Tamandua tetradactyla: one gene and its partners. The protein of the gene in region 4 purifies or fractionates together with the protein of the main gene of each other region. This does not show direct contact. Links are inferred from orthologs where the notes say so. Each region holds a gene or a part of one and is shown on either strand. Other genes may lie near its edges.

What was found.
Region 1: the proteins of ANAPC4 (region 4) and CDC26 purify together in Homo sapiens (affinity purification with mass spectrometry; 11 studies listed by BioGRID and IntAct, with this or other methods). This does not show direct contact. The link is inferred for Tamandua tetradactyla from reciprocal best matches to the Homo sapiens genes ANAPC4 and CDC26.
Region 2: the proteins of ANAPC4 (region 4) and CCNB1 purify together in Homo sapiens (affinity purification with western blotting; 3 studies listed by BioGRID). This does not show direct contact. The link is inferred for Tamandua tetradactyla from reciprocal best matches to the Homo sapiens genes ANAPC4 and CCNB1.
Region 3: the proteins of ANAPC4 (region 4) and ANAPC15 purify together in Homo sapiens (affinity purification with mass spectrometry; 10 studies listed by BioGRID and IntAct, with this or other methods). This does not show direct contact. The link is inferred for Tamandua tetradactyla from reciprocal best matches to the Homo sapiens genes ANAPC4 and ANAPC15.

Annotation. Positions count from the first base shown.
Region 1 is NC_135328.1:33,882,910-33,889,745, reverse strand, and holds the start of CDC26 (anaphase-promoting complex subunit CDC26), read right to left. Parts: upstream 3,004-6,836; 5' UTR 2,855-3,003; intron 2,841-2,854; exon of another isoform or gene 2,639-2,840; intron 503-2,638; 5' UTR 490-502; coding exon 409-489; intron 1-408. Other genes in the region: PRPF4 (U4/U6 small nuclear ribonucleoprotein Prp4), read left to right, coding at 3,202-3,228, 3,961-4,144, 6,324-6,510. UniProt on the Homo sapiens protein: Component of the anaphase promoting complex/cyclosome (APC/C), a cell cycle-regulated E3 ubiquitin ligase that controls progression through mitosis and the G1 phase of the cell cycle.
Region 2 is NC_135335.1:117,327,523-117,335,538, reverse strand, and holds the start of CCNB1 (G2/mitotic-specific cyclin-B1), read right to left. Parts: upstream 3,009-8,016; 5' UTR 2,811-3,008; coding exon 2,790-2,810; intron 2,188-2,789; coding exon 2,017-2,187; intron 1,920-2,016; coding exon 1,767-1,919; intron 1-1,766. UniProt on the Homo sapiens protein: Essential for the control of the cell cycle at the G2/M (mitosis) transition.
Region 3 is NC_135334.1:74,141,771-74,148,918, reverse strand, and holds ANAPC15 (anaphase-promoting complex subunit 15), read right to left. Parts: upstream 3,004-7,148; 5' UTR 2,751-3,003; coding exon 2,630-2,750; exon of another isoform or gene 2,049-2,629; coding exon of another isoform or gene 2,044-2,048; coding exon 1,919-2,043; exon of another isoform or gene 1,449-1,918; intron 1,339-1,448; coding exon 1,279-1,338; intron 961-1,278; coding exon 823-960; intron 651-822; coding exon 603-650; 3' UTR 337-602; downstream 1-336. UniProt on the Homo sapiens protein: Component of the anaphase promoting complex/cyclosome (APC/C), a cell cycle-regulated E3 ubiquitin ligase that controls progression through mitosis and the G1 phase of the cell cycle.
Region 4 is NC_135345.1:25,466,391-25,473,798, reverse strand, and holds the start of ANAPC4 (anaphase-promoting complex subunit 4), read right to left. Parts: upstream 3,013-7,408; 5' UTR 2,918-3,012; intron 2,795-2,917; 5' UTR 2,785-2,794; coding exon 2,656-2,784; intron 1-2,655. UniProt on the Homo sapiens protein: Component of the anaphase promoting complex/cyclosome (APC/C), a cell cycle-regulated E3 ubiquitin ligase that controls progression through mitosis and the G1 phase of the cell cycle.

The DNA of each region.
Region 1 (6,836 bases), on a different chromosome or scaffold from region 4:
GAGATTTCACACACAGAAGAGGAAGAGGAAATGTGACCATGGAAGCAGAGATTGAAGTGATGTAGCCACTAGTCAAGGAATGCCAGAGCAACAAAAGCTAGAATTAGAACGCAACAGCTTCTTCCCTATATCCTCTGAAGTATGGCCCTGCCAACAGTCTGTTTTTGGCCCAGTGATATTAATCTCAGATTTCTGGCCACCAAACTGTGAGAAAACAAATTTCTGTTGTTTAAACCACCAAGTTTGTGGTAATTGTTATGGCAGTCCTAGGGAACTAATATATCAAGTTTGAAATGCCTAGAAAGCATCCACAGAGAGATTTCAAATAAGCTACTGGTATTAAGTCTGAGGTTCTGAAGTTAGTTATCTTTTTAAATATTCCTAAGGAGTCGAAGGTTGTACTCTTACCTCTAAGTCCTTTCGAATGCTCTCAAATTCTTCAATGTCATCAAGTTTCAGCTCTAGGCGGGTTGGTTTTCGTCGCAGCATACTGAAATCAACACTAAGGGCCAAACCAGTGAATTATTAGCTGTTAAAAATAATAGACAAGAGGAAATCTGGAGAGGATAAGTCTCAGCCACACACATAGGTCAATTTGTAAGCACAAACCCTAAAGTGAATGTGGTGAAAAAGACTCATTTGGATTCACACAGACCTCTCAGTTTTTAAATGTATGGCTTACATTTTTATTACATGATGAAAACCACAACTCTGTAATTTCTAAAAACTCTTCAAGAACTTAAAATAGCAGGCCTATAAGAGAGAATTCTAGGCAATGATTACTTTAATCTCAGACTCCAATCACATTCAAAGAAATATACGAATGAAGTTGAAATGTCACATCTTAATTCAATATAGTTACAGGGAAAGTGGAACAGCCATTAAATTTAATCCACTCTACATGAGAATTATTGGGAGATTTGTGATCAGTCCTGAATGCTAAAATCAGTTTGCTAAATCTCATGAAAAGTTCCTCTAACTCACCAATTGACAGGGTTATCCTCAGGGTCTAAATGGGTAAGTCATTCATTCAGCAAACACATAGTTTGTGAGGAAAACCAATGAGAAATAATCATATCATAATGGGAATCATAATGGGAAATAATCATATCATAAAATAAGGACTCTGATGAGAGTAATGAAATGGCATCACAGAGGCAACTGATCCAGGCTGGGCTGAGCGTAGAGTAGACAGGGATGTTCGGGAAGGCTTACTGGAGGAGACAATGTCTTAACTGATTTCTAAAGTGCAGACAGAGAAAGGGGATTAAGGACAGTCCAGGCAGAGAGAACAAGTATGCAAAGAGTTTCAAGAGAGCATCTATAGTCTGAGAACCCAAGTAATGCTGTGTTAACAAAGTAACAAACATTTTTTGAGAAGGATACCAAACTTCCCCAACTGAGTTTAACTTCTGATGATCTTTCTACTATCCACAGTATCCAGCAGAGAGTATCTAATGGATGCACTCAATAACACAGTCAGTAAAAGTCTGTTGAATAAAATCAGAGATCCAAATAAAGAGAGAAAGGAAATGAACTTCTCTTACACACCATGCTAAGTTTTCCCACGATCATTCTTTACATTCTTATTTTAATCTCCACTGAAACTCCATGAAGCTGGAAAAATTATCCCTATTTTGAATATAAGAAGTCAAAGCAAGCTGTTCAACTTAGCTAACAACGTCAGCCTCCTATAATAACCATATGTACATCACAGCGTGAGGACTAAATGAGAATGATGTAAGCGAAAGGCATTTTAAAGTACAAATATAAATCATTATTACATGTATCTCGGATGTAACTAGGGACTTATGACATACACGAAGGATGAAATGTTCACTCCTCCCACCAAGAGTGGGGCAGATACAGGTAAAAGTTACGGTCAGTACAAAACGCTGGTTCATTACATTTCAAGTTTCTTTCTACTAAATAAGATACTATTTTCTACCAGATTCCAATGTAAGCAAGTGGCAGAAGAAGCCAAACTTCCAAAGACAACATAAAGGCGTGAATACTTAAAATAGAAAAAACTGCTATGTAGTTTGACTTTTCGCCAAACTGAAAAGATCGCCACTAGGGGGCAGTAGAGAGTAATATTGTACGTAGGTAAAAGCGCTGACTGGAGGCGAAAAAGACAGAGGTTCTAAATCCCACTGGTCTCTGCCTCATCTCCTACTAGGCTTTAGTTTCCTCATCTGTATCTGTACTCTGTTGTAAGAATTGAATGACTTAATGCAGATTAAGCTCCTGGCACATAATTTGGCATTTATTAAATGCTCAATAAATAAGCTGTTGTTATTATTGTAATATTTTTCTTAGTGGGGAGGCGAGCGCCTCAGTCCGACTCGAGCAACACCGATATTTTGAGAATGCTCGTCATACCCCAACTGGGAGCAAAAACTTTGTGTTATTCATCTCTGATACTCCAGCTGGGCACAGGGCCGTGCTTAGAGTTTCTTGTGTACAGATTACCTGACGCCTTCATAACCATCATCTCACTCTTAATCTGATACAAAGACCGTTTGAAAATCAACAATATCAGGCCGTGTTTCCACGGCCGGGTCCATATTTTATTGTGGGACTGGAGGGTTCCTCGAGCTCAATCTCCCGCTGCTGCCCAAATCCGCTACAAATTTACCCAGTCCGGAGGGAGCCCCTGAGAGAGCTTCTGGATCGACGAGAACAGCCCTCCTTCCCCAAAGCCAGGGGTCCGGAGCTAAGGTTTCCATGACAACGTGGTCCTCCCCTCCAGGACCAGTAAAGTCTCCCCTACGCCCGGGAGGCACTGCGGGCCCTGGAAGCCCTCGTTTCGCTCCAGAGTTCAGCCCGGAGCTGCGCCACTCGACGCACCTACCTCTTTGCAAGTTGGATCAGCTCGTGACAGTTCCGGGAACCTCTGCGCCCACCGGAATCGACCGCCAAGCCAAGAGGACTACACTTCCCAGAGTCCTCTGAGCCTCTCTCCCGCAGATCCTCGACTCCCGCGTTTTTTTCTCGGAGGTTCTACGGGTCACGCCCCTCAACGTGACCTGAATCTGTCCTACTACGACTCCCATCATGCCGCGCGCCGATCCGGGGCGCAGCGTCGGTCGTGCGCTCAGTTCCTGCCCGGGACGCAGTTCCGCTTTGCTATGCGCGCGGTGGACTGGCTGAAACGCCGATCTTGGTTTTCGCTGGAACTTCGCGGCTTCCGAATCCAGCATGGCTTCCTCTCGAGCCTCCTCCACGGTACAGAACTTGGGATCTCAGCTCCCCGGGAGGAAGCGTGAGAGGGGTGTGGTCTCTGCGGGATGGACCGTTAGGGAACGGGCCACGGTGGTAGAGGGTTGAGGAAGGCAGGCTGCGGGAGCATCGCAGAGTTTGACTGGTCCCTAAGCACGTACTCTTTATGCCTTAGCTCTTTTGCACCTCTCTCTGTACATCCCCGAACGGTAAACACTTCTTCCAACACTGGTCCAAAAACAGAGACCTGAAACAGGAAGATTTACGTCTGTGTAGACCTGTTACTTGAAATGAGGCTTTCTGACTCCAAATCTATTGCCTCATGTCCGAAAACGTTTGAGGTATAAACACCAGGAACATTGTAACTTTGTGTCCCTTATGCCATGGTTGGGATTTCAGTATTCTTGCCATTTCCCCGTGATGAGCAATAATCAAGGACGGATTCTAAAACCTAAGAAGAGATTGCACTTGCAGCCGAAAGAACAGGTTCCACTGCAAACTGCTAATAGAAAAATCTCCAAGAGGAATTCACTAACTTTATCCACCTCTTCCTGTCTGCAAAACTTCAGTGTTTGAGGGACCGAAATATGCCCCCAAATTGGGGAGGAATATCTTAATTGGTGTCCAACTTGTCCCTTTATTTGGAGAGGAAATAAGACTGACGTTCAGAATAAGATCCTGGGAATCCTAATAGGTTGCTAATATTAAGCCTTAAATTAATCCAGTTCTTTGATTTAGCAGGCAACCAAAACATCAAAGGCATCTGATGACTTAGTTGCCCCTGTTGTAAAGAAACCTCACATCTATTATGGAAGTTTGGAAGAGAAGGAGAGAGAGCGTCTGGCCAAAGGAGAGTCTGGAATTTTGGGAAAAGAAGGACTTAAAGCAGGAATAGAAGCAGGAAATATTAACATAACCTCTGGTAAGATGCAAACTGTGAGTTCATCTTTATCTTTGATGCTCACCTTTTCTGAAATAGCTTAGACCTACAAATTTTACCTTCTAGACCTAGATCACTAGTTTTACAGTATCAAAAAATTTCAGCTCTTAAACTTGCATGTCTAGGGCCATACTTTGCCTGCCCCTTTTACCATCATCCAGGGGGCATTTTTCTTACAGCCTTTCATGCCATTTTTCTTCCATGAATTATTAGTAGTTCTATCATGAATTTATTCATTGTGTATTTGGATTCAAATTGATTCCCTTTGCTTTCTGGAGATTTAGCATAGTTCAGGTATCAATTTAGAGCAACTGTGGCTCATATGTTCCCCCTTTTTAAATTTTCATCCAAAATGAAATATCTTCTTTTTTTTAAATATTTTTATTGAGAAATCTTCATACACATACAGTCCATACATGGTATACAATCTCAGTGGCTCGCAATATCATCACAGATTTGTGTATTCATGAAATATCTTAATTATAAAAGTTATTTTTTTCTTTTAAAAAAATTAGTATAGGGTGGGCCACGGTGGCCCAGCAGGCAAGAATGCTTGCCTGCCATGCCAGAGGACCCGGGTTCGATTCCCAGTGCCTGCCCATGTTAAAAAAAAAAAAATTAGTGTAGAAAATTTTATAATCTTTATTAATTGGTTTCTGAGAATTTTAGTAGTTATAAAAACATATTTATTTTTCATAATGAAACCATGATATGCAAAATGTTTTGTAACCTGTGCTTTTCAGTCTACATGTCTATCCATGTAGGTAAGTAGAAATCCACTATATTTTTAATATAAAACTATACATTAGTCATAAGAAATTCAAACAGTACAGAAGGTGTTCTAGTTTGCTAGCTGCGAGAATGCAGTATACCAGAAACAGTATGGCTTTTTAAAAGGAAAATTTAATAAGTTGCTAGTTTATAGTTCTAAGGTCGAGAAAATGTCCCAATTAAAGCAAGTCCCTAGAAATGTCCAGTCAAAGGCATCCAGGGAAAGATACCTTGATTCAAGAAGGCCGATGAAGTTCAGGGTTTCTCTCTCATGTGAAAAGGCGCATGGCGAACACGGTCAGGGTTCCTCTCTCAGCTGGGAGGGCACCTGGCAAACACGGCAGCATCTGCTAGTCGCCTCTCCAACTCCCCAGAGGTGTTTTCCTTCATCTCCAAAAGTCACTGGCTGGAGGGCTCTCTGCTTTGTGGTTCTGTGGCATTCTCTGTTGTGGCTTCCTCGTGACTCGGGCGTTGTTCTGTGCTCGCTCTGAATCTCCCCTTTTCTCCAAAATGTTTCCTCTTTTATAGGATTCTAATAAACTAATCAAGACCCACATGGAATGGTGGTGACACATCTCCACCTAATCTAGTTTAACAACCACTCTTGATCGAGTCACAACTCCATGGGAAAAATCTAATTTAAGTTTCAAACATACAGTACTGAATAGGGATTAGAAGAAACGACTGCCTTTACAGAATGGGATTAGGATTAAACATTGACTGTTCTAGGGTACATGTGAAAGAACTTCGTTGATCCTCCCAGACATGTTTTTTTACACACATGCCCTTTAGTGTAGCAACTTTAACCTTTACTACTGTTTTTAAACTTAACTGCCTCATCATTGTACCTCTCATTTTTGTATCCAAATGCTCATATTTGGTGTGGTTTTTAAAACTAGTTGCTCAGTTATCCAAAAAGCCTTAAAGTCACAAAAATATCGTTTTCACTTGACTAGTAACATTTGTAAGTGTGTTTATACTGGTGCTGTTTTAGATAATAGCTTTGGTGATTGTTAATAGCATTTCTATTTTTGTCTTCTGGATAGAAAGCCTAGTTAATTAACTCACTTGCTAGAAGTGTCTATACTCTCACTTTCTGATCTCATCCAAGGTAAGTGTTTATGTTAGGTATGAGATTGAGGTTGCCAGATGAAATAAGGGGTGGCTTGAACCATTTTCCTGCCTTTTAAAACCGTCTCATTATGTTTATGTGCTGGGCATAATTTAATAAATTGAAAAGGAATAAACTATGTCTATAAAGTACAAAATAGATTCGATTATTACCTTCCCCTAGGGGCATATAGGGACTCCAGTTATTAGAAATCATTTCTTTCCCTCTCTTTGAAAAAAGATCTGGCCATTATGCTGATGTTACGCGTTCTTTTTATAGGAGAAGTATTTGAAATTGAAGAGCACATCAGTGAGCGACAGGCAGAAGTACTGGCTGAGTTTGAGAGAAGGAAGCGAGCCCGGCAAATCAATGTTTCTACAGATGACTCAGAAGTCAAGGCTTGTCTTAGAGCCTTGGGGGAACCCATCACACTTTTTGGAGAAGGCCCTGCTGAAAGAAGAGAAAGGTGCCTTTCCTAAATACTTAATCAATTTTTTTTCTTTAATCACAGGGTTCTAGTTCCAAATTTTGGTTGGTCTTTGTAGCTAATTTTTAATAAAATGTCTCAGATAGCATTAACATCATATTTTATTAAGTTGTATTTATGTAGTTTAGCTGATAATCTGAGTTTTAGGTCAATTCTTACTCCACTACTGATTTTTCTTGATAAACTGTGAAGAGGGTGCTACTTGCTAACAACATAAAACATAATGATGAATGTTTTCCAGATATTATTGAAGAAGACACTCTCTTAAGGTGATGTTAAGGTTATGATGTCTCTTACTGTCAGGC
Region 2 (8,016 bases), on a different chromosome or scaffold from region 4:
AAGGAAAAACTATTGTCTTTTCAGATTTATTCAATTTCTCTTTAATAAGTAATTAATATCAAAAGTGAAATGCCAGCTTAAACTGAGCCAATTTGAAGTCAGCAGAACCTCAGTGCTAAAAGGTAAAATGTAGCAGGAGCAAATACTTTCATATTCTAGACCTTCCTTTAAAGAAAAGTAGTATCTGTTTATTAGTGCCATCTGTGAAGAATCTAAGTGACTGACAAGGCAGTCTTAGACCTGAACTAATGAGAAGCCAGTCTTTAGATGTATACTTTTTTCCCCTTCAAAATATGGGCTTCTTCTCACGGTGATTAATCATTTCCTTTATGCTCTCTTCCCGACATTATTCAAATATTTGAGCATGTTTTGCAAGTTGTCTTCTAAGGCACTGAATTCTTGAAATCCTTAAGCTTAGAATTTAGAAGAATAAATCAATGAGAGATTGATTCTAGAAACATGGGTAGCAGTAGGTGAAATTAGAGATAGCTCTACAGGTTAATGCTTGAGTTTTGTTTTGAGGGATGAAAAGGTTACCAAGTAGATGAGAGAAGGTGGGAGAAAGCATTCTTAGTAAGAAAGTAAAGGCAGGAATCAGTACAGTGCTTTCAAGGAAACCTTAGGTAGTTTGGTATGTCCATATTAATGACTGTCAGCTACATGTTTGATATGCTATGTTCCGAAGATCAATACTAAAGCAGAGAGGCTTCAAATCTCTTACCCTTAGATATCAACATCTAGGCTGAATAACTAGATGATAATAGATTATTTTCCCAACCTAAGTTTTAAAAATTAGAGCCTTGGAATACATTTCATTACAATATCTGTAGAATGCCCCATTTTCTGGATGGCTTGTCCTCCTTTCAGAGGAGTAGATATATTTATGTATCTGATATTTAATAAAAAGTCCTGGTTTTTAAGCCTAGCTTGTTAATTCATCTTCTTGCCTCCTTCTGAAGAGCTAGCTACATTATCTTTCTACCTCATACCTTCATACATTCCAATGTTACAGGCTAATTATCCAATGAACACATTAAAAAAGAAAATTCCCACCTTTAAGGCTCCTAAAACTGGAGCAGTACATTCTTCTCAAGGGAATTACCAAGCCTGTCATTTTTCTTGGGTAAAAAATCTGAGTTAAAATTCTTTTTCTTAGCAAGTTCTCTTATTATAGGATTTACATAGAATTGCTGGAAAAGTCAACCCTAAACAACTTTTCAGAGGCACACCTGAACAGAAGATACAAACCTATTTAATTCTGGTATTATCATGAAGTGATCTAATTAATGTTACACTAACACAGGATACCTAAGGAAACTAGGTGACCAAAAAAAGATTTAAGAGACTATTCTGTATTTCAGTCAAGAAATTTGAGACATGAATGGTTTGAACTTGGTCAGCAAAATCTTTGCTCCAGGCAGCTACTACTTAATACCATTAACAAAGGTGGGCAGTATTGGAGAGCACTTAGAAGCACTAGTTCTAAAGCCAGACAGCTTAGGTTTGAGTCCTGAACGTGCTACTTATTAGCTTTATGACTCTGGAAAAGATACTTATAACCTTTCTAAGTCATTATCTAAAAAGTAGAAGTAATAACAGCTACCTGAGAGAGTATATGCGAAGATTAGGCAAGTTAATGCATGAAAAGTACTTAATAGAGCCTGTCTCAGGGTATGAACTAAAATGTTCTATTAGTATTCAAATGTTATCCCATGCATTAGTCAAATGAGGGGAAAGGACACTAAAGTAGGTAACAATGCGTTTACCAAAATAGGCTCAGGCAAAAATTTTTCTTCTTTAATGGGTTCCGGTTCTGGTTCGTGTTCTGGCTCTGGCTCCGGCACAGGCAAAGCTGCTTTTTCCAGAGGTCTGGGTAGTTTTTTAGCCATAACTTTCCCAATAGCTGAAGCTTTTGCTTCCTGTAGATGAAAGGAAAGGAATGGAATATTCCACCATCAAGAGCCACAGTTGCGAGGTGGGTTTATACGGAGAAATTAGGCCAGGAAGCTAAGTTACCTTTTTCAAGGCCATTTTGGCCTGTGGCTGTTCACTGACTTTGTTACCAATGTCTCCAAGAGCTGTTCTTGGCCTCAGCCCTGTCTTGGAAGCTGCAGCAGAGGCCAAAGGTACTCGCTTTGCGCCCGCCATACTGATCTTCGTCTTATTCTCAGTATTAATTTTCGTGTTCTGCAAGAAGCAAGATCAGTTCAGAGCTGCTCAAGCCCGGCCGGGGTGAGTCGAGGGTTAATTAAGGTGCGGCACAAGAGAGGCGGAAATCCGAGTGAAATTGCGGGGAGGGGAAAACTGGGTCTCGGGGTCTTCTCTAAGGCCGTGACACGTTACTTCCCTCCCGGAACTTCACTCACCGACTGAGGGATTTTCGGGGAGTTGGGGCCAACTCTCAAATTAGCGTGAATCTACATTTGAAAGAAAACCTAAACAAAAGCTCCGATTGCAGGCACCTTTTCTCCAGGAAGGGAGCTTGGGAGCTTACTCGGCGGCCCTCCACCACCTTTTAAAAAAGGCTTCCCGTCAACGCTACAGCCCCCCCCCCCCACCCCAGTACTTCTCAAGGCCCTTCCAGGTCTTTCTTCGCCTTCTCTCCGTCCTGACTGCTCCCCACCTCCCCCAGCACACCAGGCGCCCTGGGCACTCTCTCCGAGACCTTCCGTCCTCCTCCCCAAATCGCTGCCCGGCCCTTGCCCAGTCGGGGAGTTCCGGCAGGCGACGGAGGACGAGAGGGCGCACGGGGGGAAGGCCACGCTTGCTCACGGCTCGCAGCAACTCACCCTGGTGACTCGGAGTGCCATGGCTTCTTCTTCACCAGGGAGCAGTTCAGAGGGAGAAGCAGAACCCGGGAGCCCCGGACCACCTGGGGACCAAGTGCCACCACAGAGCAACAGCCGTTCCTCCGCAGCACGCCGGGAGCAGCGGGGCCCCGCCTCGGATTTAAACCCCGCACTGCTCCCTCCTTATTGGCTGGTTCGTGGCACTCGCTCCCTTCCCATTGGCGGCTGCCAGTTCCTCCCAGAATGCGTTTCCAGGGCGATCCCGCGAAGCCCTTGGACAGGGGGCGGGGCCAGGGCGGGGCCAGGGCGAGGGCGCGGCCCCGGCGCGGGGGCGGGGGTGAGGGGAGTGGGCGGGGCCTCGCGCGGCCGGGCTCCGCGCTGCGCGCTCTGGGCGCGCTCTGGGCAGCCTCTGCACCTGGAGAGGCGTAGGTGCGCGCGCCGTGGAGGTGGCCCGCGGAAAGCGGCAGTGCGGCGGACGCGGTTTTAGAGGTGTGACGAGCAGTTATGGCTTCCGTCCTCCTTATTGATACCCCTTTCCTCTTCCACACTGGCGTGTAGCGTCAATATCATAATTCATGAAAGGCTTTGTTATTCATTCTTTCCTTTGATCATTCCAAGAGCTCTCCGGGGTGGAGCAGCTGAAGCTCGGAGAGGCTTAGGTGGCTTTCCAAGGATCACAAATGCTGGGCGCTGGGATTGGGTTAGGCTTTCGGATCCATGATGTTTCCATAACATTGTCTCAAGGATTGTGGCAGCTTCGGAACCTGCCCGATTAGTTCAATCAAATTGTTTCTCAAAGCCAATCTCTTCTTTTAGTTTTTTATGTGGAAATTATATCAAACTTAGAATAAGTCGCAAATATGAAAATATTGCAGCGAACACCTGTATAGTCTTTACTCAGATTCAACCATCTTTGCAGGGTGCATTTCTTAAGAAATTGACATTATTACAATACTTTCTTTAATCCAATTTTTATCCTAGTTTTGTTGATTGACCTAGTAATGTCCTTCATAGCATTTTGCCTGTACAGGATCCAGTCTATGATCAAATGCTTAATTTTCATGTCTTTTTAGCCTCCTATAATCTGAACAGTTTCCACAGCTTTTCTGTCTTATCACATTGACATTTTTGAAGCATACAAAAAAGTGTCCTTTCGCTTTTTTTAATAGAACTTTCTCACTTTTTTGTTTGTCTGCTGGTTCCTTGTGATTTTAATTGGTAATATGCATTGTTGGCTGTAATACTGCATAAGTGATGTATCCTCAGAGTATCAAGTCTATAGAAATACAATGTTCGTCAGTCCCTCATAGGTGATATTTTGTTCACGTGTTAAAAACGTTACCTGGTTTCTCCACTGTAAAATTACTGCTTTGTTTTTTCTTCTTTGCAACTAGTAAAGTGTCTTGGGGGAGACACTCTCTAAGACCATGCAAATATTCTGCTCTTCCTCAAAACTCCCTCTAGATTTCACATCCATTGATGATTTTTTTTTGCATATATATACAGGCATACTTACTTTATTGTGCTTCACTTTATCGCACCTCACAGAGTCCATTGATGATTTTATCTGAAACTGTCTTTATCAGGATGGTTGCAAAACAATGACTTTCCAATTCCAGCAATCCCTTCAGCTCTTGGCCTTCTATTACAATAAGCAAGAGATCTTCCTTCTTCATTTATTTACTTATTTGCTTATCTGTTTATTCTTGGTATGGATTCAATTCCTATTTTGCCTAAAGAAATTACACCTTTAGGCTCATTATATCTAGTAACTATTTTTTTAACTTTTTTTATTGTATAGTATAACATATATACAAAGCAAAGAAATGAAAAAGCAATAGTTTTCAAAGTACTCTTCAACGAGTAGTTATAAGACAGATCCCGGAGTTTATCATGGGCTACCATATGATTCTCTCATATTTTTTCTTCTAGCTGCTCCAGAATATAGGAGGCTAGAGGGCTTAAATATTTTTTTTATCACAATTGACTTTTTTCCTTTTTTTGTGAACAATAACATATATACAAAAAAGCTATAAATTTCAAAGCACAGCTAGTTGTAGAACATATTTCAGAGTTTGACACGAGTTACAATTCCACAATTTTAGGTTTTTACTTCTAGCTGCTCTAATTGATAGAAGAGATATCAAGTTAATGATTCAGCATTCATATTCATTTGTTAAATCCTATCTTCTCTGTATAACTCCACTATTATCCTTGATCTTTCCATCCCTATCTTTAGGGTTGTTTGGGCTATGGCAATTCTAAATTTTTTATATTGAAAGGTCTGTCAGTAATATGGGGTAGGGAGATGGAACTATCTGATGTTCTGGAGAGAATGGCTAGATTTCAGGACTTATCTGGACCAGGGACCCACCTGGAGGTTGTAGGTTTCTGGAAAGTTGCTCTAGTGCATGGAACCCTTATGGAATCTTATATATTGCCCTAGGTGTTCTTTAGGATTGGCTGGAATGGTCCTGGTTGGGGTTTGGCAGGTTATGATAGGTAGCAAGGTCTACCTGAAGCTTGTGTAAGAGCAACTTCCAGAGTAGCCTCTTGACTCTACTTGAACTCTCTCAGCCACTGATACCTTATTTGTTACATTTCTTTTCCCCCTTTTGGTCAGGATGGCATTGTTGATCCCACAGTGCCAGGTATGGATTCATCCCTGGAACTCATCTCCCATGCCGGCAGGGAGACTTTCACTCTTGGATGTCATGTCCGATGGAGGGGGGAGGGCAATGATTTCACTTGCAGAATTAGTCTAGCAACTATTTTTGAAAAAAAAAACAAGTTAATAACAGTCAAATAATGTTTAAAGTATAACACTGATTTCCATTATCTTATAAATATGACAGTTATACTGGTAAGGTATTTAGATAATGTAAAATCAAGCTGATGGTATCACATTACGGGAAACAACTAATGACAGTTTTCCTCTAAACTAAGTAATCAAAAGAAAAGGTCCTTGTGCTGGTTGGATTACCTACAGGCTTTTAAAATAGTGACTTCATAGATTTTGCTTTAAATGATTCTCAGACATTTGAAGCACAGCTACAAAATTTACCAAAATTACAGGCAGTGCCTTTTGCATCTTTTGTATTTATGCTGAGTGACATTGCTATCAATGTAGGCCTTGAGAGAAGGAATCTGCCCTCCACAAAACCTTTATAATCCATTTTTTGGTTTTAATAATATTGATAGTCTCTCAGATAACCTAATCTTCTCTCATCCATGTGCCTATTGAAATGCAAATCTTCAGTCAGTAGTCAAGAAACCCTGATCTCCATACTTTTATAAACAGGTTTTTCCCTTGGCTTGAAGATTCCTGGTTTAGAAGGCTGCATTCGAAACTGTTCCTTACAATTGCAATAATAGTATATGAAACCATATAGGCTAGACTGTATTTACATTAACAGTTCATCAAAAACACTTTAACTCGCTTGCTGCAATGGAGCTGGTCAAGAGAATCACTTCAGGAGGGGCCAAGATGGCAGCTTAGCAATGTGCACGTTTTAGTTCGTCCTCCAGAACAACTACTGAATAATCACAAACAGTTCAGAACAGCTCCTGGGTCACGTCAGTGACCGGACACACGGCATACCCCAGTCTGGACCAGCTGGACCAGCTGCGAGCACCCCCCAGAACCGTGAATTCCCAAAGCTACAGCGGCCGGCGCCCCTCCCCCACAGGCCGCTTCCCAGAGGGGAAAGGAAAGGAGTTTACCAGCAGCAGGGGCTGAGCCCAAGCAAACGCCAATTGTGGAATTAGTTAACAAATTCTGACTACTAAAAATAGGCCCCCAGCTCAGGTGAATCTGGTCAAAGCGGAGGTTGCTCATTGGGCTAATGGAAAAAGAAAAAAAGAAAAGAAGCAGAGGTTTTTGTGGCTGTGTTTCTACAAAGGCTAGACTGCCTCTGGATTCAGTAGCAGGGTACTTCTCAGGCTGCAACTGCCTCAGGCATAGGCAGAAACAAGCTTGTTTCAGGGCTTGTCTCGAGCCTGTGCCTTCCCCAGGGGAGGGGTGAAGCCCAATTCAGGTGGAATCCTTCCCTCAAGGAATTCAGACACCAGAGCTTGGTATTAAATTAAAACCAGCCTACAACCTGTCCTCTGTCTCCACCACATCCCCAGCAGGGAGAGTCTGCCAAAGTTAAAGGTACCACATCATCTTATGCTGGTGGGACCTGAAGGCAGACAAGCCCCACACACTGGGCAAGATAAGAAAAACAGAGTCCAGAGACTTCACAGGAAAGTCTTTCAACCTGCTGGGTCTCACCCCCAGGGAAAACTGACACAGGTGATTTCTTCCCCCTGATAGGAGGCCAGTTGGGTCCAGGAAAACCCAGCTGGGGTCTATAATACCCAAGTAGACCCTTCTAAGGGTGGCAGGGAAGCACCATACAAGCAGGGTGAGAAAGAAGAAAACAAGAACCAAAAAAGTCTCCTCTGTTAAACATAACCTAAGCTAGAGGTCCAGAAAAAGCTGAACTGAATGTCAAAGAACAGATAGACAACAAATTCTCCAGCAAGAAAACCCTAGGTAAAAGAAGTGAAAGCAATCTCCAGAATAAACTAGTTAAGGTAATCAAATGCCAAGATGCCAGCAAAAAATAACAAATCACACCAGGAAAATTGAAGATATGGCCCAGTCAAAGGAACAAACTAAAAACTCAAATGAGATACAGGAGCTGAAACAATTAATTCAGAATATACGAACAGACATGGAAAACTTCATCAAAAACCAAATCAATGAATTGAGGGAGGATATAAAGAAGGCAAGGAATGAACAAAAAGAAGAAATCGAAAGTCTGAAAAAAACAAATCACAGAACTTATGGGAATGAAAGGCACAGTAGAAGAGATGAAAAAAAAAAAGGAAACCTACAATGGTAGGTTTCAAGAGGTAGAACATAGGATGAGTGAACTGGAGGACAGAACATCTGAAATCCGACAAGAAACAGAAACTATAGGGAAAAAAATAGAAAAATATGAGCAGGGTCTCAGAGAACTGAATGACAATATGAAGCACATGAATATACATGTTTTGGGTGTCCCAGAAGGAGAAGAGAAAGGAAAAGGAGGAGAAAAACTAATGGAGGAAATTATCACTGAAAATTTCCCAACTCTTATGAAAGACTTAAAATTACAGATCCAAGAAGTGCAGTATACCCAAAGAGAATAGATCCAAATAGACATACTCCAAGACACTTACTAATCAGAATGTCAGA
Region 3 (7,148 bases), on a different chromosome or scaffold from region 4:
GGGTGACTCCAGGGGAGTGGTTGACCCCCATTCCTTGAGTTTTAGTCCTCTCTCCTAACACTATGAGAAAAAGCTGAGAGCGCTCCAGGGGCCTCCCCTGCCCAGCCCATGTAATCCTGGGTAGGATCAGAGAAGAGAGCAGATCCTGAGATAGAAGCCCTCCAGGAATGGCTAGTGTAAGCTGGGCCAGGGGAAATGGCAAAGGGGCCTGCCCTCCCCAGCCCACCTGGCTAATTAAGTCTTACCTAGAGTCCCTCAGTCCCCTCTCCCCAAAGTTCAGGAGAAGATACTGGACTCTTCTGGGACCCATAAACAAATAGGGAATAGAGATGGGGGGAAAATAATTAGTCCTGTGTCTTTATTAAAGAGAGTTAGAAAGAGATCAGACCTGGCAACCATGGGGTGAAGTACTAGCTCTGACCCTAGGTATTCAGTGGCAGACTGATGACCTGGGAGGGAAAAGGAGACCAGTTGTTGGCAGCAGGTGAGGAGATACCTGAAGTTGAGCTTTCAGGAACTGGGGCCATCAGCTGGTTCTGCAGGTGATGCGCAGTGGGTTTGGTTGGCCACAGTTCTCCCTGAGGCCACCCCTGCCCTTCCATCTAGATCATCCACTGGTCTTGATCCTGTTCATTGCCTTCCATGTCCACCTGGGGAGAAAGCTAGGTGTGGGTGGGAAGGAACCTCAGTCTTCCAGCAAGCCCCCAGAACCTCATCCACTCTGTCCCTGACTAGATCCGGGATTTTGGTATCCCCTGGCCACCAGTTAGGTCAGAGGCAGGGAACCAGGAGCACAGACCCTATCCCCAAACCCTTACCTACCTCATTGACCTCTCCATCATCAGGTGACTCATTGTAGTCATTCATTTCATCCATGTCCTGCATGTCCTCATCATCCTCTGAGTCTTCTTCGCTATCCTCATCATCTTCATCATCTTCTTCCTCCTCATCATCATAGTGCTGGTGGGGTAGGGGAATGCCTATTGGGTCCTACAGGCCTGCCTGGACTATTTCAGGGGCTAGCCTTCTTGGAGTTCTCTTGGGGCCCAATAACTGACCCCCACCTCTCCAACCCCGTCCTCCTCAGTCCAGAAGCCTAGTGCATGTTCTACAGGACTTTAGTGCTGAGGCCAAGAGGCCACCTCTCCAATGGCCCCAACATCTGCCCACCACCCAACTAGAGCTGAAGACCATGACTGCTCTGGTGCTAGAGGCAGGACCCTTGGAACTAGAGCAGACTTTGGCCACCACTTGGCCCCACTTGCTAGAACCACTCACCTCAGAGGCTGGCTTGCCAATAGGTACCAGGTTGTTGTCCTTTTCTGCAATGCTCTGGAGCTATGGCCAAAAGGGTAGGGAAACAAGGCCAGGGTCCAAGAAGGGCAGGTTAGACATGGGACTGGCCCACCTCCTCCCAAAAGATTCCAAAGTGAGGGCAGTGGGGAGAAGGTTCCTCCCAGTTGTCAAGAAGATCCAATCACTTTCTCTCCCATCATCTACCACTTACTTTTGAATTGACCCAACTATTTAAACTCTCTGGGCTTTGGTTTCCTTATAGAATTTATGGTGAGGGTGAAGTGAGAGAACATCAGCTTAGAATATAGCATTTGTTAGACTCTCAGTAAATAGTCAAAATTATCATTTCCTATGCTTTAGGAAAAAAGAGCCTGGGGTGAGTGTCAGAAGCCTTGGCTCCAGTCTGGCCTAGAGGTTTCATGGTCATCTAACAATTTAAGGCAGAACAAAGATGAGAATCTAGGCCCTCTGAGCCCCAGCTCCAGATTATTCCTAGTTCAGGGCAAAAAGGTCCCCCAGGATAGGCTTCCAGAACAAGGCTGGTTCCTGGTCCAGTGGGTGAGGGGGGTCCTTGACTGAGAATTTCACCACTGTGCCCCTACCAGGCTAGATCTCTACTCACCCAGGCCTGATGTTGCTGTTCCTGCTGTTGCAGCTCTGTCTCCTCCACACAGGGTCGATCCAGATTAAACCACAATGTTTCAGTCACACGGGGGAAGAGTGAGGGGAACAGAGTTGACATGGCTCCTAGACTGAGGGAAAGGATCAGGTGAATCCAGCTCTCAGATATGGGTATTATATTTGTTTTGGTTTGGGGTTTTTTGGTTGTAATTTGATCTAGGAACGGGGTGGAGTAGAAGGTAGTAGGGAAGCAGCACTTCTCTCTGGGAATCAGAAAGACCTGGTTTCAAGTGTGGTTCCACCACGTACTGGCTGTTTGACCCTAGCCAAGTCACTTACCCTCTCTGAGCCTCAGTTTCTGCGATAAAATGGGGATAACAATTTCACCACCCTTAAAGTTATTCTGATAATTAATTGAAATAATGGATTAAAAAAAGACGTTTATAAGCTGCTCCACGAGAGAAGAGAGTGAAAACCAAGAGTAGAGAGGACTCAAGGACGTAGATTATAATTACAAAATTGTACAAAATGAGAGGTAGCAGGGGTCTCTACTGAAACATCTTTACCTCCTCCAAACACCAAAACCTTCTTTCTGCTTATTTCTTATTACCGGCAGTACAACACCTACCCAAAGTTAGAAAATTAGGACACTAAACCATCTTACTCATGGACCACAACCAAATTGGGGATGGGTGGGGAGGTGGGGTGTTACCTTGTGCAGACAGGGGCTCAGTAAGAAATTCTTGAAGGCCCGAGTAAATTAGTTGGTAAATGAATAAATAAATTGATGGAACGTTGAATGTATGAACCAGTAAGAGAACAAGTAAATTCATCTCTGAGTGAACGACTGAAGGAGCCAACCAGGAAAGTCCAAGAGATTCTGAATTAAAACCTCTCAGTTCACTTTTCTGAGACAGCGACAGGCAGCGATTGGCTCTAGATTAGTTGGGGCTCAGACTCGAACTCTCGTAGAGACGTACTCTAGGACGGTCACTAGAAGCGATGAGCAGAAGAGGATTACTTATGTCTAGTACTACTTTTGTTCTGACTTATTTGACCGATCCGGAGCTAGTCATTGTCCTTCTCTAGACCTCTGCCTCCCAGCCTAGGCAACAAGCAGACCTGGACCCAATGTCACCTCTCGGAAACACTGAGAGGCCAGAGAACGTAGATCCAAAAGCCCAGCCCAACGCCGCAAATCCACGGCCCATTCTTACAGAGTTTGCTCGTTATGATAATGACTATGGGGTTGACCAACAGGAAGAAACAGAGGTGGGGACTTGAACAGGAATTTCGCCTTATAGGGTTGCTAATCGCAAAAGGAGCGGGGCCTAGGTTGGGCCAATTGACTAGAAGAAATGCCGGGTGACAGGAAGTGACACCAATGACTGACGGATCTTGTGCGATGGGGTGGAGCTTAGTCTCAAGGAAACGGCCAGTAAATGATATCTCTTTAGGAGCGTTTGAAATAGTGCTCCTCAGCAGCCGGGTCAAGGAAACTAGGTTTCTTTGGGGAAAGGAGGATGGAAGAGGCAAGAAGACAGCAGCTGTAGCTCTGCTACGGTACTTACCGCACCTGAGGCGGGAGCGGGTCACGACCCGGAAGCGCTTCCACCTGCCTGAGCGGAAGGACCCACCAGAATCCGGGACCTACCAAGCGCATGCGTGTTTGGCCTCCTTTTGTTTCCCGCTCCCACCGCACCCGAACGGATGTAACGTTAGACACACCTTTGTTCACGTTGTTGGAGAAGAGAATTTGCCGCGCCCACTCTAGGAACCCTTCTTTGAGCCTCAGCCAATCGACCTCTTCAGCCTGGCCCCGCCCCTATGGCTCCACTTATCCCCGCCCCTCCGCAAGCAGGCTGCTATTTTCCTCACCAACCGCTGCTGTAAAGTATGTTCTAGGCGCCTGCGTTACTGCAGGGGCTTTTCTCCTTCTGCGCCCCAGGAAAATTTGTCTGTTTCCGGACTGAATCCAGAATCGCTGGGAGGCTTTTGACCCCTCCACTTCACTCTGAGCCTCAGATTCCCGTTTGGGCATATTAATTCATTTATTTATGTCTCCAACAAAAATATCTGAGCCCCTTCTGTATTCCAGGCTCTGCTAGAAGCTGGGGATAAAATTATGAATGTGGCCCCTGCTCCCCAAAAATCAACAGTCCAGTGGGAAGGCCAGACCATCCAGACCCGCAGTGGTTTCACTGGTTTCCTAGGATTGTGACGTTGAAGAAGCTATTCAGAATTGAGTGACTAGACAGTCTCAGGCATAGCGTTCTGTTACTGGTGAGTTCAGTAACAGTCGTTAGCCTCGTCATCTCCCCCACTCCTTTGCTGATACCTGTATCCTAGTTGCCTCTGACTCAACCTCCTATCAGAGGTCCTTACAATCCAACCCCCTTTGAACTCCATCACCCACCAGCCTCTTCCAGGGCCAGCAGACGTCCACAATTCTAATCCTACCCTGACCAGATGTGTGATCTTTGTCAAGTCCTTTTTCCCTATCTAGACTCAGTTTCTTCTTCAAATAACGTCATAATCTCTGCCCAGACTTCCTCCCATCCTGGCTGATGTGAGGGTCTATAACAGATGCTTAAGCTGTAAGTGTTCTGTGCATATCCACTGTGATTATGTTGCCAAGCATCTCTGGCTGTTATAAAGTTTTCTATTAGCAAGTAATAATTTGCCTCTTGGAAACCTCCATCCTATTCATTCATTCACTCAACAAATATCTATTGTGGGTCCTACTGTATTTTGGTCACTATTCTAAGTGGTGAATATACAGTAATGAACAAAACATTTAAAAAGTCTTATTCTCATGGAGCTTCTTCTCTAATAAAAGAGATAAATAATTAAAAGCATAAGTAAAATGCATGGTTTAAAAAATGTGATAAATAACTGAGGAAAAATAAATCAGGCATGTGGGAATACAAGGTTGAAAGGGGGTGTTTTATTTTAGGTAGGAAGGCCAAGAAAAGCCTCACTGGGAAGGTGTGCTGGTCTGAAAGTGGTGTGAACCCCAAAAAAGCCATGCTCTTTAATCCTCATTCCATATTGCTGGGTGGAATCTTTTGATGAAGTTGTTTCCTTGGAGATGTGACTCTTCACTTGTGGGTGGGAAGTTTTGATTAAGTGATAAATCTCTTAATATAGAGATAAATCTCTATCCGTTCAAGGTGGGTCATTTAAGAGGCAACCATTTTGAAAGAGATGAAAGAAAATAAAGTTTCAGTGGCTGAGAGATTTCAAATAGAGTCAAGAGGTTATCCTGGAGGTTATTCTATGCCTTAGATGGATATCCCTTTTTAGTTTATGGTGTATTGGAGTGGTTGGGGGGAGGTACCTGAAACTGTTGAACTGTGTTACAGTAGTCTTGATTCTTGAAGATGATTGTATAACTATATAGCTTTTACAATGTGACTGTGTGATTTTGAAAACTTTGTGTCTAATGCCCCTCTTATCCAGGGTATGGACACAAGAGTAAAAAAATATGGATAAAAAATAAATAATAGTGGGGATAAGGGATAAAATAGAGTAGATGGAAATACTAGTGGTCAATGAGAGGGAGGGGTAAGAGGTATGGTAGGTATGAGTTTTTTCTTTTTTTTATTTTTCTGGAGTGATGCAAATGTTCTAAAAAATGATCATGGGATGAATACTCAACTATGTGATGATATTGTGAGCTATTGATTGTACACGATATATGGATTGTACGTGTGTGCAGATTTGTCAATAAAAATATTTTTTAAAAAAAAAAGAGGGAACCATTTTGGAAAAAGCTTCAGAACTGACACAGGCAAAGACATTTGGAGATGAAAGAAGAAAATGCCCCCAAGGAAGCCATTTAAAACCGGAAGCAAAGACCCCAGCAGATGCGAGTCATGTGCCTTCCCAGCTGGCAGAGGTGTTCCAGACCTGTCTGCCTTTCTGAGTCAAGGTATCTTTTCCTGGATGCCTTAGTTTGGACATTTTAATGGCCTTAAATATGTAAATTTGTAACATAATAAATTCCTTTTTTAAAAGTCGTTCCAATTCTGGTATATTGCATTCTCGCAGCTTTAGAAAACCAACAGAAGGTGACTTTTTTTTTTTCACATGGGCAGGCACCAGGAATCGAACCTGGGTCCTCTGGCATGGCAGGCAAGCATTCTTGCCTACTGAGCCACCATGGCCCACCCCAGAAGGTGACTTTTGATTAAAGGTCTGAAGGAAGAGGAATAGAGCCATGCAGATATTTGTTGAAAAGCATTTTAGAGATAGAATGGAGAGGGTAAAGGGCCTCGAGTGACTGAAGCATAGTGTCCTTTGAAGAAAATTAAAGGAGATGAGGGCAGAGAGGTAGCAGAGGTCAGATAAATGCAATCTTATAGGTCAAAATAAAGAACTTTGCCTTTTACTCTGCATTGGAGAACTAGTGAAGGGTTATAAGCAGAGGATCCATGTAATCTGATTTACATTTTAATGGGGTCACTTTAACTTTTCTATTACGAATATACTTCAGGGTGATAAGAGCAGAAGCAGAAAGACAAGTTGGGAGCCTATTGTAATAATCTAGAGGTGACAGATGAGATATGAATTGAATTCAGAATCTATTTCTAAAGTAGAGGCAACAGGATTTGCTGACAGATTAGATGTATAATATCAGAGAAAGAAAGCAGCAAAGATTTTTGGCCTGAACAACTAGAATAATGGAGTTGTCCATTTTTGAGATGGGAAAGACGGGAGGTGCCGGTTTGGGGGGAATATCTGGAGCTCAGTTTGGGGCATGCTGAATTTGAGATGCCCATTGGAGTAGAACTGTAGAGGGGGCAAGAAGATACATGAATCTGCAGGTTAGGGGAGAGATTGAGGTTGGATATATTAATTTGGGAGTCATCAATACAGAGACAGTATTTAAAGTCAGGAAACTGGATGAGATCACCAAGGGAGGAGTAAGTGTTGATGGAAAATAGTTTCTTCCAATATTCAGAATTTGAGGAAATTAGAGGCAGGAATAAACAAGACTGAGAAGGACGGCCAAAAAGGTATGTGGAAAACATGGTGAGTTGGTTTGGTGTCCTGGCAGAAATGGGGAAAAAAAAAGTAGTCCATATACTAATCAAGGAATTCGTAGTGGCAAGACTCCCTTCCCACAGGTGATTAATACCATGCTCAAACAGCACAGATTTATCACTCTTCTCCAACAAAGTGGGGCCTGCACACTTGTCATCAACTCACTCCAACTGGAGCAGTTT
Region 4 (7,408 bases):
GGGAATCAGGGAACTGAATGACAATATGAAGCGCACAAATATACGTGTTGTGGGTGTCCCAGAAGGAGAAGAGAAGGGAAAAGGAGGAGAAAAACTAATGGAAGAAATTATCACTGAAAATTTCCCAACTCTTATGAAAGACCTAAATATACAGATCCAAGAAGTGCAGCGCACCCCAAAGAGAATAGACCCAAATAGGCGTTCTCCAAGACATTTACTAGTTAGAATGTCAGAGGTCAAAGAGAAAGAGAGGATCTTGAAAGCAGCAAGAGAAAAACAATCTGTCACATACAAGGGAAACCCAATAAGACTATGTGTAGATTTCTCAGCAGAAACCATGGAAGCTAGAAGACAGTGGGATGATATATTTAAATCACTAAAAGAGAAAAACTGCCAACCAAGACTCCTATATCCAGCAAAATTGTCCTTCAAAAATGAAGGAGAAATTAAAACATTTATAGACAAAAAGTCACTGAGAGAATTTGTGACCAAGAGACCAGCTCTGCAAGAAATACTAAAGGGAGCACTAGAGTCAGATACGAAAAGACAGAAGAGAGAGGTATGGAGTAAAGTGTAGAAAGAAGGAAAATCAGATATGATATATATAATACAAAAGCCAAAATGGTAGAGGAAAATATTACCCAAACAGTAATAACACTAAAAGTTAATGGACTGAATTTCCCAATCAAAAGACATAGAATGGCAGAATGGATTACGACCCAGCAATACCACTGCTAGGTATCTACTCAAAGGACTTAAGGGCAAAGACACAGACGGACATTTGCACACCAGTGTTTATAGCAGCATTATCTACAACTTCAAAGAGATGGAAACAGCCAAAATGCCCATCAACAGACGAGTGGCTAAACAAACTGTGGCGTATACCTACGATGGAATATTATGCAGCTTTAAGACAGACTAAACTTATGAAGCATGTAATAACATAGATGGACCTAGAGAACATTATGCTGAGTGAGTCTAGCCAAAAACTAAAGGACAAATACTGTATGGTCCCACTGATGTGAACCGACATTTGAGAATCAGCTTGGACTATATCATTGGTAACAGAGACCAGCAGGAGTTAGAAACAGGGTAAGATAATGGGTAATTGGAGCTGAAGGGATACAGACTGTGTAACAGGACTAGATACAAAAACTCAAAAATGGACAGCACAATAATACCTAAGTGTAATGTAACTAGGTTGGAACACTGAATGAAGCTGCACCTGAAATATGGTTTTTTGTTTGTTTGTTTGTGTGTTTGTATCTTTTGTTTTTGTTTTTTTCTTTTTCCTTTTTATATATATATATATTAGTATTATTATTTTAATTCTCTTCTCTATATTAACATTCTATATCTTTTTCTGCTGTTTTGCTAGTTTTTCCTAAATCGATGCAAATGTACTAAGAAATGATGATCATACATCTATGTGATGATACTAAGAATTACTGAGTGCATGTGTAGAATGGAATGATTTCTAAATGTTGTGTTAATTTCTTTTCTTTTTTTTGATTAATAAAAAAATTAAAAAAAAAAAAAAATTACAAGACCACTAAACTCATGGATCAGCCCACTTGCCTTGTCAGCTTTTTCATACCTCTCCTTTCACTCAAGCTTCCAGTATTTTTTTTTTCTTCATCAGCTTTCTTAGATTATTCCCTCAACAGGAAAATGAAAACAAGTGCCTACTCATCTGATTGCACTGATGCCCCTATTCTCTACTTTCCTCCCTATTGCTGAGGCTGAACTATCTGTAGCTTATCTACTCCCATCTAGAACCGTCACAAAGTTACAAAGCACCCTGGCAGAAAAAAGACTAGAAGATTTCACGGAGGGGCAAGAAATCTAAGGACATATTTCATCTTCTGGTACAATTATCAGTACCCTGGTAGCGGGGTTATGGCAGGCAACAAGGTGAAAGAGTTCTGTATACTGCTAACCTTACCTTAACATCTATCTTTGAAACTCGGGCGCACACACCGCTCAAGGTCTGACAACTATCAGGAAAACTGTCAGGAGGCCAAAGGAGGGAAGATGCACCAGTGAAGGTTTCTTTACAGAATGGCTCTGCGGTCAATATGAAATCTCGGCAAAAAGTTGTATACATTCTGTTTATACATGTAGGGTAATGTAATATGAACTAGAAATGCTTATCAGTAAGTCACTGCACGTTCTGGTAGAAATCCTGCGAAGCATGTCTCCCTTGTTCAATTTAAATGTATTTAGCAATGAAACCACAGTTTAAAACTTGGACAGCAGAATGAAAATCCTTAAACCTGTAGTATCTGACAGTTACGTGTATGTTGATTTTCAGCGAACTCACAGTAATAACTCATTTTTCTTTTGCTACTAAACTGTAAGCAAACTTAGGGTAGAGTCTGTGCATCTTCCACTATTCTCGCTCAGTGAATGAAGACCATTTGGGGATGCAGAATTGTGTTAAGCTATGTGAAAATGGACCCACAAATATTATTAATTTTCGCGCATATGGCCCTTTGCACTCTCTCTAATAGCTGCGGTCATGGGAGTGAGAGGCGGGGAAGTCAGGTACCCTGCCCTGTCCACAGAAAAGGAAACTGAGGCTCGGGCAGTGGGTGACCCGCACCAACAGGGGGTCAGCCCTGCCCCAGACGGGCTCCACGCCGGTTCACTTACCTCGCCCGTCGTATTGGCCAGAGCAATGAGATCCCGCTTGGGAGACCAGACTAGGAAAATGATCTCCTGCGGCAGCTGCTTCTCGCCCACCACCCGGAAGGATGGGAAACAGGTCGGAAAACGCAACATGGGGGCCGCCCTGCAAAGACACCCTAGTTGGAGGCCGGTAGCATCCCCTCCGCCGGCCCAGGGAGCCCCCGCCGCCCTGTCCCGGCCGGACACGGCGCCGCCTCCGACCCCGCGATCTCCGACAGGGCGGTACCTGCGAGGGTCCCCTCGGCGGCCCAGGCGATCCAGGCGGTACAGACCGCCCCAGCAGCCTCCCTCCCTCCCTCCGTCGGCCGCGCGCAGGAGCCTCCGGGCCGTCCGGGTGCGCGCTTCGGCACTTCCGGCGCCGGGACTTCCGCGCTAGAAAACGGAGCTGGCGCGCGGCTGGGTGGGGGCAGGCGGGATCGGGGGTTCGGGGTCGGTGGGCTGGGGGCGGCGAGCGCGGGGCATTCGGGAGCGCTGGGCCAGGAGGCGGCGAGCGGGACGCATGGGGCTCGTCCTTATGGCCGCCTGCCCGCCTGCCTCTCCCGTTTTCCCGGAAATTTGCTTCTGCCAGCGAAGGGACAGTCCAGAGGTTAAGGCTGAGGCCTCAGAGATGATAGGGAGAGAAAAAGGCATGTGAATTCCGGGACCTGGTCAGCCGCCTTTGACAGCCTCTAAACAAGTGGTCTTCAGTTACAACGTGGGATCATCTGGAGAGGTTTTAAAATCCTGCCCATGCAGCGCTCCACACGAATTCAAGGAAAATCAGTACCGTGTGGCAGCCATCAGGTAGTAAGGATGGCTTACTGACTTTACTATAACTCCGTAGGTGATTACAACTTGAAGCCAAGGCGGGGACTCTAAACCCTCCTTCAGATGGGGATATAATGCCTTGAGTCCTTATCCTACATAAACCTCACTACATATTGGTAGTACTAGCCCCATCATATGAGAATGCGGAGTGTGGGCTCATCCAAGACTTAGCCTGTAGCTATTTGAGCATTTCCTATGTTCAAGAATCTGGGGCTACAGAGACGTATTGGACATGACTGTTCAAAAGGCTCTGTTCAAAATGCTCATAGGCCAGTCTGGCAGAGAACATGTAAATGCTGACCCTTCTGACTGCCCTTTATAAATGACATATTTAAATGTGTCAATCCATTCAACAGTTTCCTGAGCCGTGACTCGGGCTTACAGGATGTCACCATGACATCCTATGACTATGGTAGAAAGGCCTCCAGGTTTCACTTTTTACTTGTTCAATGGAAAAAAGGTGGCAGGACCTTCAGTTTTCAAGCTCTGTCATCTTGTACTCTCTCTGATCTAGCCCCTGGGAAGTAGGTGACAGATATAGATTAATTCATTCAGAGACAAATATTCAAGAAGCTGTTTTTGTGCCAAGTGCTGTTCTTAACTCTTGATGTTTACCTGGAACTTACACTGAATAAGAACCCTCATACAGCACATTATAAAAAGGATTGAAGGACAGGACAGTGTTAACTAGTTGTACACTAAGAAATTTTAGAAGAGATTAGAATGAATTTTCTAGAAAGAAGGTATTAAAGTTCAGGAAACAGGATAGCTTTGGAGTTCCATATGTGGTGAAATAACAGCAAATAGTTTTATATCCTCGTGTGTGTTGGTGGGGAGTAGGGAGCAGGGATTGTTGTTACTGGAAATGATCCTAAATAGGGAAAGGAAAAAAAACTATTAACACGCATGTGTTTTTAGCTTTTCCTTACTACCTGATGAAGAAGGTTCTTTGCTTTACCAGCTCCTTTCTTTACCTTCTCCATCTTTTGTGTAAGAACTGCTTTGCCAAACCTGCTCATTTGTGCTTTTGTAACAGAAAATCAAGAAGAAACGGGGAGAAAGTAGTTCATGGATCATACGCTATTTAAGGAAACAAGGCAGGAGATATTTATGTGGGAAAAGTGGGGAAAAGTGAAGTAAATGGAAAATAGGCAGATTTTAAGCATTTCTGCGCTCTGTATATTCTCTCCCTAAGTGTTTCTTTTTAAAATGCAAGAAAGAACTAACTTTTTTGAAATACCTCTTTGACTAGCTAGATTGATTTTCAATCGCCATACTCTTTGGTCTAGATTGTACTATTATAACAGTGAGGAGCCAGATTTGGAAAGGCCAGAGAGCTACCAACAGAGATTTCTGGGGGGTGAAGTCTATGTTAAGGTGGGAGTGTGGCATAAAAATCAATCCATCATGGCCAGCAGGCAACTGAAAAATCAGGTTTGAAAGTGAAAGGTCAGGACCTGAGAAAAGGTTTGAGATTCCCTCTTCTGTGTACAAAATGGAAGATGGAATTGTGGGATGTACCTATACAGGCCATATGAAGAGCTATTATTTTGAGGCCTGTTTTGAAGTCATAAAATGGTTGAAACACAAAACAAGCAAATTGAATGTGAATTTGCAGGAAAGAGAAAAGGATGTAAATGGGTGGTGTTGGAACCTCTCTGCTCTACCACAGTTGCATCCATTCGGCAACAAAAAAACGTGACTCAAAGTTGAACAGGCAATAACAAGAAAGTTGTGGTTAATGTAAATTAAAAGTCCAGCAGGAGGGCAGAATTCAGGCCAAACTAGATCCAGCATTCAGTCTCATCAGGAACCCAGCTACCTTGTCTGCCTTCTACAGGGTTTATATCATCATGAGGCTGGCTCCCCATGTGGTCACAGAAGACCGCAACTGGAGCTGTATGCTACCTCTTTCAGACCAGGAGAATGAACGCCTCCTCTACCAACCATAAGACAAAGATGTTGGACTTCATTATGATTAGACCAACCCCTATTAGCAGCCTAGCCAGAAATCACCCACTGGGAAAGGTGAGGGAATTATGCTGATTGATGGAGCCCAATAAAAAGGTTCCCCCCCCCCCCGCCTGCCCCCAGAGACCAGGAGAATACAGTCATTCCTCCCCCAACTCCCATGGCAGGTCTACAGTGGAGCACGCAATGGGAAGGTCTGTATGATGCTGCTGAAGCCATCGACACTGCGCAATACAACAATCAATCATGATAGTTAAGGGGTAGCTTTAAGTAGGAAGAACATTTGGGACATGATGTCTTGGCAAAATGAGTCTAAATTGGATTGCTGGGGTTTTTGTTGTTGCCCATGACTGTTTTGGTTGCTTTTCTGGGAAAGATATTCATACTAACTCATGGGAACTATTTTTCCAATTTGAAAAAAAGTTCTAATAAGAATTACAAGTCCAGTATTCGTATGTATAGGAATTTATCCTGAGGAAGTAGAGACTGGAATATAAGGAAGCTTATCATAGGATTATTTACAATCATGAAAAACTGTAAACAACTCAGGTTGTTTACTATGGGAGACTGACTTAAGAGTAGGTTGCAAATAATATGTATTTACAGTTCCGTTTTTGTTGGAGGAAATTTAGAGTGGGTCTACCTATTTAACTATTTATGCAAGATTCTGTGTTTGGAAGAGTACATGCCAAAGTTGTAACAGTGGTTATCTGTGAGAGGTAGAATTAGAGATGATTTTAATTTTCTTTGATATACTTGGATCATGTATCAATTCTAAAGATATTAAGCAGGAACCTTTGTTTCCTTTTATCCTCTTTAAACCTGAGGAATGTTTGGGCTGATTTTCCCTAGTTTGCTCCCATTCCTTGCCTTCACATTTGTAGATAAAGAAACAGAGGCCCACCGATTCAGACTGCTTCTTAGAGCTCACTGGATATTATCTAACCTGCCTCATCTAACCTGCATGCTATTAAAAACAAAACAGTTTTGAGAATTTTGTGGCTGTCCAACCAATAGGATAAAACTCACTGCTCACAGCTCTGAGATCTGCTTTCTCACTTTTGGTCTTGCTGAGTTTAACATTCACACTAAATAGCCTTCCAAACAACAGAAATCTCCTTTTCACAGTCGAGCTTCTTAGCTGACCCTGAATTATTTTAAGCCATGTCCTAATGCCCCAATTAAAATAGCATCAAATGCATGCAATTGGATTTTCTTTTGCGTTTTGTGGAAGCTTTCTTTACCTGATAGCTTTTCATGTAGCAGTTAGGGTTTTGAGGCATCATGCAGTTTATAAAAGGGATTTCCATCCACTCAATCCATAAAGAACATTGACCACTTGGAGGGCATTGTCTTGTTGCGAAGAAATGCCTTAGCCTATCTGCCCTACTCCCATGGTTATTGGGAGGAGGAGCTGAGAGCATATGTGATGCACCTGGTTGTCTCCTGATATCACTGTGTGCAAGGCCCAGGGCTGAGGAGTCACAGTGAACACACACGATGATGTCCACAAGGCCCCTGCCACTAACAACAAGCTTCTAATTTGCTCAGAGGTAAAAAAAGTACTCAAAGTTATTCCAATATAGGGCATGATTTAAGTACCTTAAAGAAGTATAAACTGGGGGTCCAAGGGTAGTTAAGTGGTAGAATTCTTGCTTGCCATGCGGGAGACCCGGGTTCAATTCCTGGTTCATGCACCTACCCCCACGCACAAAAAATTCAATAAATGCTAATGTAATAATGAGATAGTCACATGGAAAAAGAATGAAATGTGACCTCTACCCTACAGCATACCAAAAAATATATAAATAAAAATATATAAAAACAAAAAAATATATATAAACACACATTTTCCTCTCACTAGCCAGAGATTTTTGGAGAGACCAACGAGGACATTGTGAAGGAAGTGGCATCAGACCAGGATCCTTTGCAGGCTGTG